Oryza sativa Japonica Group: one gene and its partner. The main gene of each other region encodes a partner of the protein of the gene in region 2 in a complex. Links are inferred from orthologs where the notes say so. Each region holds a gene or a part of one and is shown on either strand. Other genes may lie near its edges.

Region 1 (3,919 bases), on a different chromosome or scaffold from region 2:
TAACACATAAATACATAACCTACAGATGAACTGAAGAGAGTGTGTTAGTTACACAGCAAAATAAATAGACCCAAGGAGAAGGGAAATGACAGATTACTATGTGTTCTATTATTCCAGATCAGCAAAGAAACAGCAACAACACAGGACAGAAAATGAATAATTGTTCTGAAAGAGCATGTCAAATAATACACATGAAGAAAAAATATTAGTTTAGACAGAGGAAGCTGCAGATAAATTGCAAAAAAAAAAAAAAAATCTTGATATGCCGATAATACCCATATAAAAGACAAGTGAGGTATACATTACCCCAAGTTCTCGTTTGCTGACTCCTGCACCAGCACGAATGTATCGCAAAAGTGACTCAGATCTTTTTGTAAAGAAATCGTTATAGTCAAGTCCATCAGGTGGTGAGAGCTGAGCATGTGTTAATACAACCAATGTTCTTCGCCAAATGGCCTTTCCAAATGAATTGGTGACAGCTCTAATAACTTGATCATCCAACGTGTCCATTCTGTATGCATCCAATCGATCCACATAAAGGAGGACATCAATAGTCTTGCCCAGAAGAAACCTGCGATACAGTAGATAACACATATGACTTGTATAGGAATAGAACTTTTGAAGACAGCATAATGAAAACTTCGCGAAGGTCAAATTTATGAGCAGCAACCTAAAGAAAAGTTGTGTTGATTCATAATAGTTATTGTTAATAATTAAGAGAATTTTCCTTTTGTCACTCCTTGCAACCTGATTCACTCTCTCTAACATTGTGAGTTGCACTTCTATTTTTCGCCTCCATTACTAGTCATCCATTTCCCTTTTGCATTGATGTGCAGTCAACAGTAGTTAACCAATCAACCATCAGGGTTTGCTCCTAGAGACTATTATACCCTTAGGTCCCCATCGTTTGGCTTATTTCCTAATAAGCCAAAACGGCTTATTAGGAAATAAAAATGAATTTGTGGGTAAAACTTTTATAAATGTGTTCTTTGTGACTTAAAAGCCAATGTTGAAAAAGAAACTACGTTGAAAATATCTCAAAATCAATCTCAAAATTAAGCTTGAAAATTCAAATTTTGGCTTTTTCTTTGGCTTATTAGGCCATCTGATGGGAGCCTTACAGAAACTGGAATATCCAGAAAATCATACAAATATTAAAAAAATAACAAAATTACAAAGCCAACAGGTTATCTTCAGAGTAATGTGAGTATAGTGCACAAAAAAACAGTTTAACATGAATATTGGATCAAGACTCTTCAGACAGCACCCTAGATTCTGTTTGTAAAATCAAGAATAATATAAAATCACCTCCTGTCTCGTTCTTACACCACAGGATGGCAAAGTGGAAACACAAACTAAAACAATGTTTCTGAGATGTGTCGCCCATAAATATGATGCCGATTTCAGTACATAAAAGCTCCTAATTCCAAGAAAATATACTACAGATCGATCCGCCCTTGACCCTAGGTCAAAATGGCAACCTTAGTATGGTTATAGTACCATCTCAAATCCTAAACAAGATGTTGTGGTACATGCAAGCAACTGTATTGATTAAAGACAAGTATCGCTATAACTCAAGATTGGTACCTTTTTATGATCTCAACAGCCTGCTCATTGATGTATCCACCTTCAATGAGCCCAGGAGTGTCAATAATGTTCAAGGTGAAGCCTGCCCTGGTGCGAGAACACATCATCGGCCTGAGACCCTCGGACTGTACAGGAAAACATTCATCAACACACCCATAAGTACGCAACTTCGGTTATGGGCTCAATAGAAATCAGACCTGGAAGAAGCATTACCTGGAAGGCGCTGACAGTAGCGACCCTCTCGCCAACGATGGAGTTGACGGTGGATGACTTCCCCACCCCGCCCTTCCCCATCACCAGAATTGTCAATGTGCTCACATTCTTCATCACAAACAAAGCAGTAAAACATACAATCACATCACAGACGGAGTAACAAAACACACAATTACCACCAGTTACTAACAACGTAAAACAAGAGCGGGATATATATAATCATCGCCAATCCATTAACCAGTCCATAAAAGAAGCGTTTGCATAGGCGTGTAATACCTCCTCCTTGAGCTTGCCGAGGAGCTCGTGCAGCTTGGTCTGGGTAGCCGCCGGAAACTGCTGCAGCCCCACCCACTCGCGGGGTATCGGCGCCGCCGACATATCCGCCCTCACCTTCCTTCCTTCCCTTCCCTTCCCTTCCCTTCCCCTAACACATGGACCAACCAATCAAATCAGAAACCCCGACCCAATTTGGACAGGGCGCAGGGCGGCGGCCGCGAGGACCACGTGGAGACTCGGACGGAATGCTTACCGGGAGATGCGGATGCCGGCGAGAGGCGGGCGGTTATGCCCTAGCGGCGGAGGAGCGGCGGAGGATTTGCGGCGAGGTCGAGGAGGAGGGGCTCGGTGTCGGGGGGGTTTTGGTGAAGGGAAGGGATAAGGAGAGGAGGAGATGAACTTTTCTTTTCTTCACTCTTCCTCTTTTTTTTCTCTTTTTTTTTTCTAGTTTTGTCTTTTGCTTTTTCTTGTGGGCTAAACGGGCTGGGCCTGCGGGCGCTTGTTCTTTTGGTTGGGTTCAGCTCTCTGAGACGACAAGTTAGAGCTGTTTATTTTGGAATTGTTGTTGAGTTGTTGATAAAAAGAGCTGTGGCCTTCTGTTCTACTCATGTAAATCTACTTTATCATACACCTTGAGTGCACATAAGTTTTTTTTATTAAAACCTTGAGTGCACATAAGTTTTTTTTTTGTATTAAAACATTGAATGCAGCAAGTAAAATTGGAAGAATTCCGGTAGCAACGCCTCACGGGAATATGGTTGGGATTTTCAACCTTGGACGTAATTACAAAATCCCAACCTTGATCTGTAATTACGTTATTATTACTCTAGTAGTCTTGGTGCAATACTGCAATTTACCTCTTTTTCTTCGGACGAATACCGGACTACAACTAGGCAAAAGGTTTTATTGACCTGCGGCCCAGTCTAACTAGACCGAGTCGAACGTCCATCTCCGTACAGCCCATCTCTCCATTAGGCCCATTCTGACTCAGATCCGAGACGCGGCCCAAACGGCCACCGGCGACCGCGTCGTGGGAGAATGGCGACGGGCGGTCTACTCGCGGTCGACCAGACTCCGCTCCGCGGTTCGGCTGGCTGGAGCGCGGGCGGCGCGGTGGGGAGAGCCGGGAGTGGATTCTAATCTCTTGAAGGGACATCCCTCGTACATAATTTTTTTTTTCAAATTTAATATAAATAGCTATGAAAATTTCTATAAAAAATTGGCAATGTAAAGTATAATGATACCTACTAGTCCACCAAAATTTATATTCAAATTTGATCTACACATCGAGAAAAAAAAAGGCAAATTTAAATATAAACAGTACGATATTATTCATATGCTGAATTTGTCTTTTTTATATGTCGACGTGTGAGTTGAGTTTGGACTTAAGATTTTATGGAGTTATATATATATATATATATATATATATATATATATATATATATATATATATATATATATATATATATATATATATATGAGACCCATATGGGACTCCATGGTGCCCGGGCCAAGGTATAAAACACACAAATTCTCTCAAATTTTTAAAAATTTTCAAATTGTGAGTATATACCTAGGTATATGAAATTGATTCATACAAATACCTAACAACAAAACAACTCAAACTCAACTTTATTTCACAATTCATTATTACATACCTAATGAATTATATGTTTGGATGTTATATATCTAGAACCAAAATCTAACAAAAAAAAAGTTTAAACTTAGTTCAAACTTGTTTGAACTTGTTAGTAAAGAAGTTAATGTTCATATCTAAACATTTACAAAAAAAAATTCATACTCATTCAAATTGGGTATATACTCAATTTGAATCTTGGAGCCC
Region 2 (3,878 bases):
GGGCAGAGGCGGAGAGCGGAAACGGAACCCAAAAAGCTTTCCAGGATTTGGATCCTGAAGTTTCAGAAGTGAGTTTGCTTCAGACAATATCTTTGAAGAGTAGCACAAAAGCAGCATCTGATGCCTCCAGCTCTGGCCATTTGGAAGTACTTTCTGACCCTCGCGGTTTCTCCTGCAAGAAGGATGGTTCTCAACAAGAGCTACTGGATTCATCAACCGCATATCTCCTGCAGCTTGCCTGATGGATTGCTGGATAATGTGAGACCTCTGAGCCATTAGCACCTCATATGTCATAGGGGCACCATTTAGACCTTCAGGAGGGGCGGAAGCAGCATGAGTGAGAGCAACAATGGCATTGAACCATATAGATGAGCCCAGAACAGAAGTAATGGTCTTTAGAAGAGGCAAATCATTGAGATCACGGCTCAGACTATCCAGGCGGTCCACATACAGAACAATATCTGGGGGGCATCTCTTGGTATATTTCTTGACAGAAGCGAGGATTTTTCTGTTGGATCCTTGGTCCATCACATTGGGTCGAAGGCCTGGAGTATCAATGATCCGTATCTGGACACCATCGACATTACCAACAATCTCCCGTACACTGTTGGTGGCTGAACTGAAAGCATCAGTTTTGGACTTCTCTTCACCAAAAATTGAATTTATAGTTGCACTTTTTCCGACCCCTATCTTCCCCAAAACAAGTATGTTGCATGAGAAGTTCAACTCCTCTTTTCCCTCCGCTTCAAGCAGCATGGCCTTCTTCCGTGCATTGTCAAGGCTGAAAGCTCGGTTTGTCTGCCTTCCGTGTCGAATACCCTCAGCAAGGCTCAGACGGTACAACACCTGTGCTGCAACTGTTTCTTCAGGAGTAGCCCCCAATCTATAGACAAGGCGCAGAAACTTTACTCGGATCAACTCAACCTTGTCATGCAGCTTCTTCTCTTCCTCCGTCATCTCCTCAGTAGGCTCAGCAGTCACTGCTAGCTCAGAGGGGCTGAATAGGTTTGACCGTGCAACTGGGCGTGGGACTGTTGGCCTGAGAGATGGGGCTGATGAGCCCAGGCCAGCTGGCCGATCCATGGAGAAGATTCTAGAGCCATCTTGGGAAGAAACTGTGACATTCCCGTCTGCAGATGCACCAGTTGCTGCTTTCAGCAGGGCAGCCAAGGCAGCAGAATCAAACCCCTTCTCATCGTCATCTTCATTATCGTCATCATCCCCATCCTCCTCAGAATCATCAAGGACAATCTGCCCATCCATGCTATTAGTGTACTCTCTCGAGCTGCTCAAGCCAGATACAGGACTAACACTAGCAGAACCTTCCCCAAGCTCCTTCATGATCTGCTTCGCAGCTTCTGAACTCTCTATAATAGCAACTCGTGCAGGCCCCCTGTCAGAGCTCACTCCATCTTCATCGTCATCAGCCTCGTTAGTACCATCATCTTCATCATCAGCTGCAGCTAAAACTATCTCTTCATCATCATCAGCGTCTTCTTCACGGTCAATAACCTCAGCAACACCTTCATCCTCCTGACCAACATTATTTTCCTTGGTTTCCTCTGGAGCCAATTCTCGAGACACAACAGAACTAGCACCGCCATCAACATTACTCTCATCCTCAGTAGGCTTCTCAACACCAACAATCTCCACAGATTCACTGGCCTCGCTTTCAACAGTTTGCTCCTTCTCAGTACTCTCTTCAACTGCACTTTCGGCACTCACATGCGCAATCATCTCGGAGCTAGTGTCGTCAACAGTTTGCTCCTTCTCAGTACTCTCTTCAACTGCACTTTCGGCACTCACAGGCGCAATCATCTCGGAGCTAGTGTCGTCAACAACCTGGATTCGGTCATACGAATAATTCAACATCCTTGTATGTATCAAAACTATTTAGAAACAAAAAAAACTACACTGAGCAAGATCAATTACCACTGGAATCACCCCGCTTACTGGCTCAGGCTTCGCCTCCATTTCTTCCTCCTCTCCCTTGTTATCCTCTAGCTTCTCCTCCACAGCCAATTCGACGGCGGCAGCCACGCCATTTGCCTCCGAAACCACAGCCTTCTCCAACAATTCTTCTGGAGCATTGCTCTCCTCCACCACCTCCACCGCCGCCGAAGCACTCGCTTCCTCCTCCGCCTTGTCGCCCAAATCTCCATTAGCTTCAGCTTCAGGAGCTACCTTATCCTCCGGCTGCGGCGCCTCCGCGGCCCCAGCAGAAACATCAACCTCTTTCTCCATTCCCAATTCACCATCATCCCCACCCCCAGTAGCCACCTCCTCCCCCTCGTTATCCTCCTCCGGCTTCTCCTCCACATCCGATTCGGCGGCGCCATTCGCCTCCGGAGCCAGAGCCGGAGCCTTCTCCTCCGGCTCCTCGCCCAATTCGCCCTTCTCCTCACCTACCGCGGCATCGGAGGAAGCCGGATAAGCATCCTCCTCACCCAATTCGCCGTTGCTCGCCTCCTCCTCCTCCTCCTCCTCCGCCGCCGCCGCCAACAACGAGGAGGCAGCTTTCGCATCTCCCCCGGCGAACTCCCCGCCGCCTCCCTCATCCTTAGCCTCCGCCACCTCCACCTCGCCGCCATCTTCCCCGTCTCCGGCCACCTCCACCTCCTGGCCACCGAACCCCCCACCTTTCCCCTCCAATCTCACCTCCTCCTCCTCGACTACCTTGGGTTGCTCCGCCGCCGCCGCCGCCGCAGGAGCAGAAGGGACCTCGTCGCCGTCAGGCGGCGGGGTGGGGGGCTTCTCCTCGAGCACGGGGGCGACCGGAGCGGCGTCGGCGTCGGTGGTGGAGGCCATGGCCGGGGCTGTTGCTCCGGCCACCACAAGCAAAGCGAAGGCGAAGCAAAGAAGAGAAGCAGGAGGAGGAGGAATCGGAGGAGAGGATAAGGTGAGGGTTTTAGGTTGGGCTCAAAATTAGTACTTTGTATCAAATCCCAAATTCCCAATCTATATATAGCTGGATGGGATGGGATGCTCTTCGATTTTTCTTTTCACCCTTTGCTTTTCCTACAAAAGAAAATGTTCTTCTTCTGAAGAAAATAAAATAGTTATATCTAATCTCACCAGTATATGCTCTTCGATTTTTTTCTCCTTTGCTAAAAGAATAAAAATATTTTTTTGTGTGTTCTTTATATATATATATATATATATATATATATATATATATATATATATATATAGCTGTCTGCTCTTCGATTTCTTACCCTCGACTTCTCCTCAAAATTGAAACAAAGTTTTTCTTTTGTTGTGAAGAAAAAGATTTGGTTTTCTTCTCCTCAAAATTGAAAAAGGTTTTTTTTTTATTGTGAAGACAAATATTTGGTTTTCTGTTTTGGCGTGCGGTTTTGGAACGGCGGACACGCCGGGGGTGTGGTGGTGAGACGAGAGAGGAAGCAAAGAAAAGGGGAAAAAAAATAGGGAGAGCGTGACGATAAGGTGAAATTTTTTTGATTTTTTTTTGCGTTTACGTTTACCTTTGTTTGTATGTTTGTGTGGTTCTTTGTTTCTTTTTTTTTTTGATTTCGTGCTAGGGTGGGGCTTTGGTTTGGTTTGTCTTGTAGTTGAAGGGAAGGAGTGTCAAAAATATCTTCTCTAGATTTTTTTTTTTGCCTGTTCCAACTTCCAACTGGTTTTCGATTTTGATGGTTTTGGTGTTGCCTAGAAGACTTTGCTTTTACTGATAATTGGAAGTTTGAAACACATTATCTCTTCTATAAATGATCGAAATGTGCACTTCTCTTTTTACTAATCTTGTGGTAGTGTTCATCTCTCTTTTGCTATCACAGATTCACAGTCAAGGGTGGTAGCTAACTTTTAAGCAAAGACCAGTATTCCCTTGAAGTAAAAAGTGTACAAAATTTTGAAAT

Evidence for each region.
Region 1: translocase of chloroplast 101, chloroplastic (region 2) and translocase of chloroplast 34, chloroplastic share a complex: the UniProt entries of both Arabidopsis thaliana proteins name them as parts of the TOC core complex. The link is inferred for Oryza sativa Japonica Group from reciprocal best matches to the Arabidopsis thaliana genes TOC159 and TOC34.

What each region holds. Positions count from the first base shown.
Region 1 is NC_089037.1:7,484,561-7,488,479, forward strand, and holds the start of translocase of chloroplast 34, chloroplastic, read right to left. Parts: upstream 2,490-3,919; 5' UTR 2,330-2,489; intron 2,225-2,329; 5' UTR 2,179-2,224; coding exon 2,077-2,178; intron 1,909-2,076; coding exon 1,801-1,908; intron 1,713-1,800; coding exon 1,588-1,712; intron 572-1,587; coding exon 307-571; intron 1-306. UniProt on the Arabidopsis thaliana protein: GTPase involved in protein precursor import into chloroplasts. Seems to recognize chloroplast-destined precursor proteins and regulate their presentation to the translocation channel through GTP hydrolysis.
Region 2 is NC_089039.1:2,992,922-2,996,799, forward strand, and holds the start of translocase of chloroplast 101, chloroplastic, read right to left. Parts: upstream 2,936-3,878; 5' UTR 2,809-2,935; coding exon 1,933-2,808; intron 1,843-1,932; coding exon 1-1,842. UniProt on the Arabidopsis thaliana protein: GTPase involved in protein precursor import into chloroplasts. Seems to recognize chloroplast-destined precursor proteins and regulate their presentation to the translocation channel through GTP hydrolysis. Required for chloroplast biogenesis.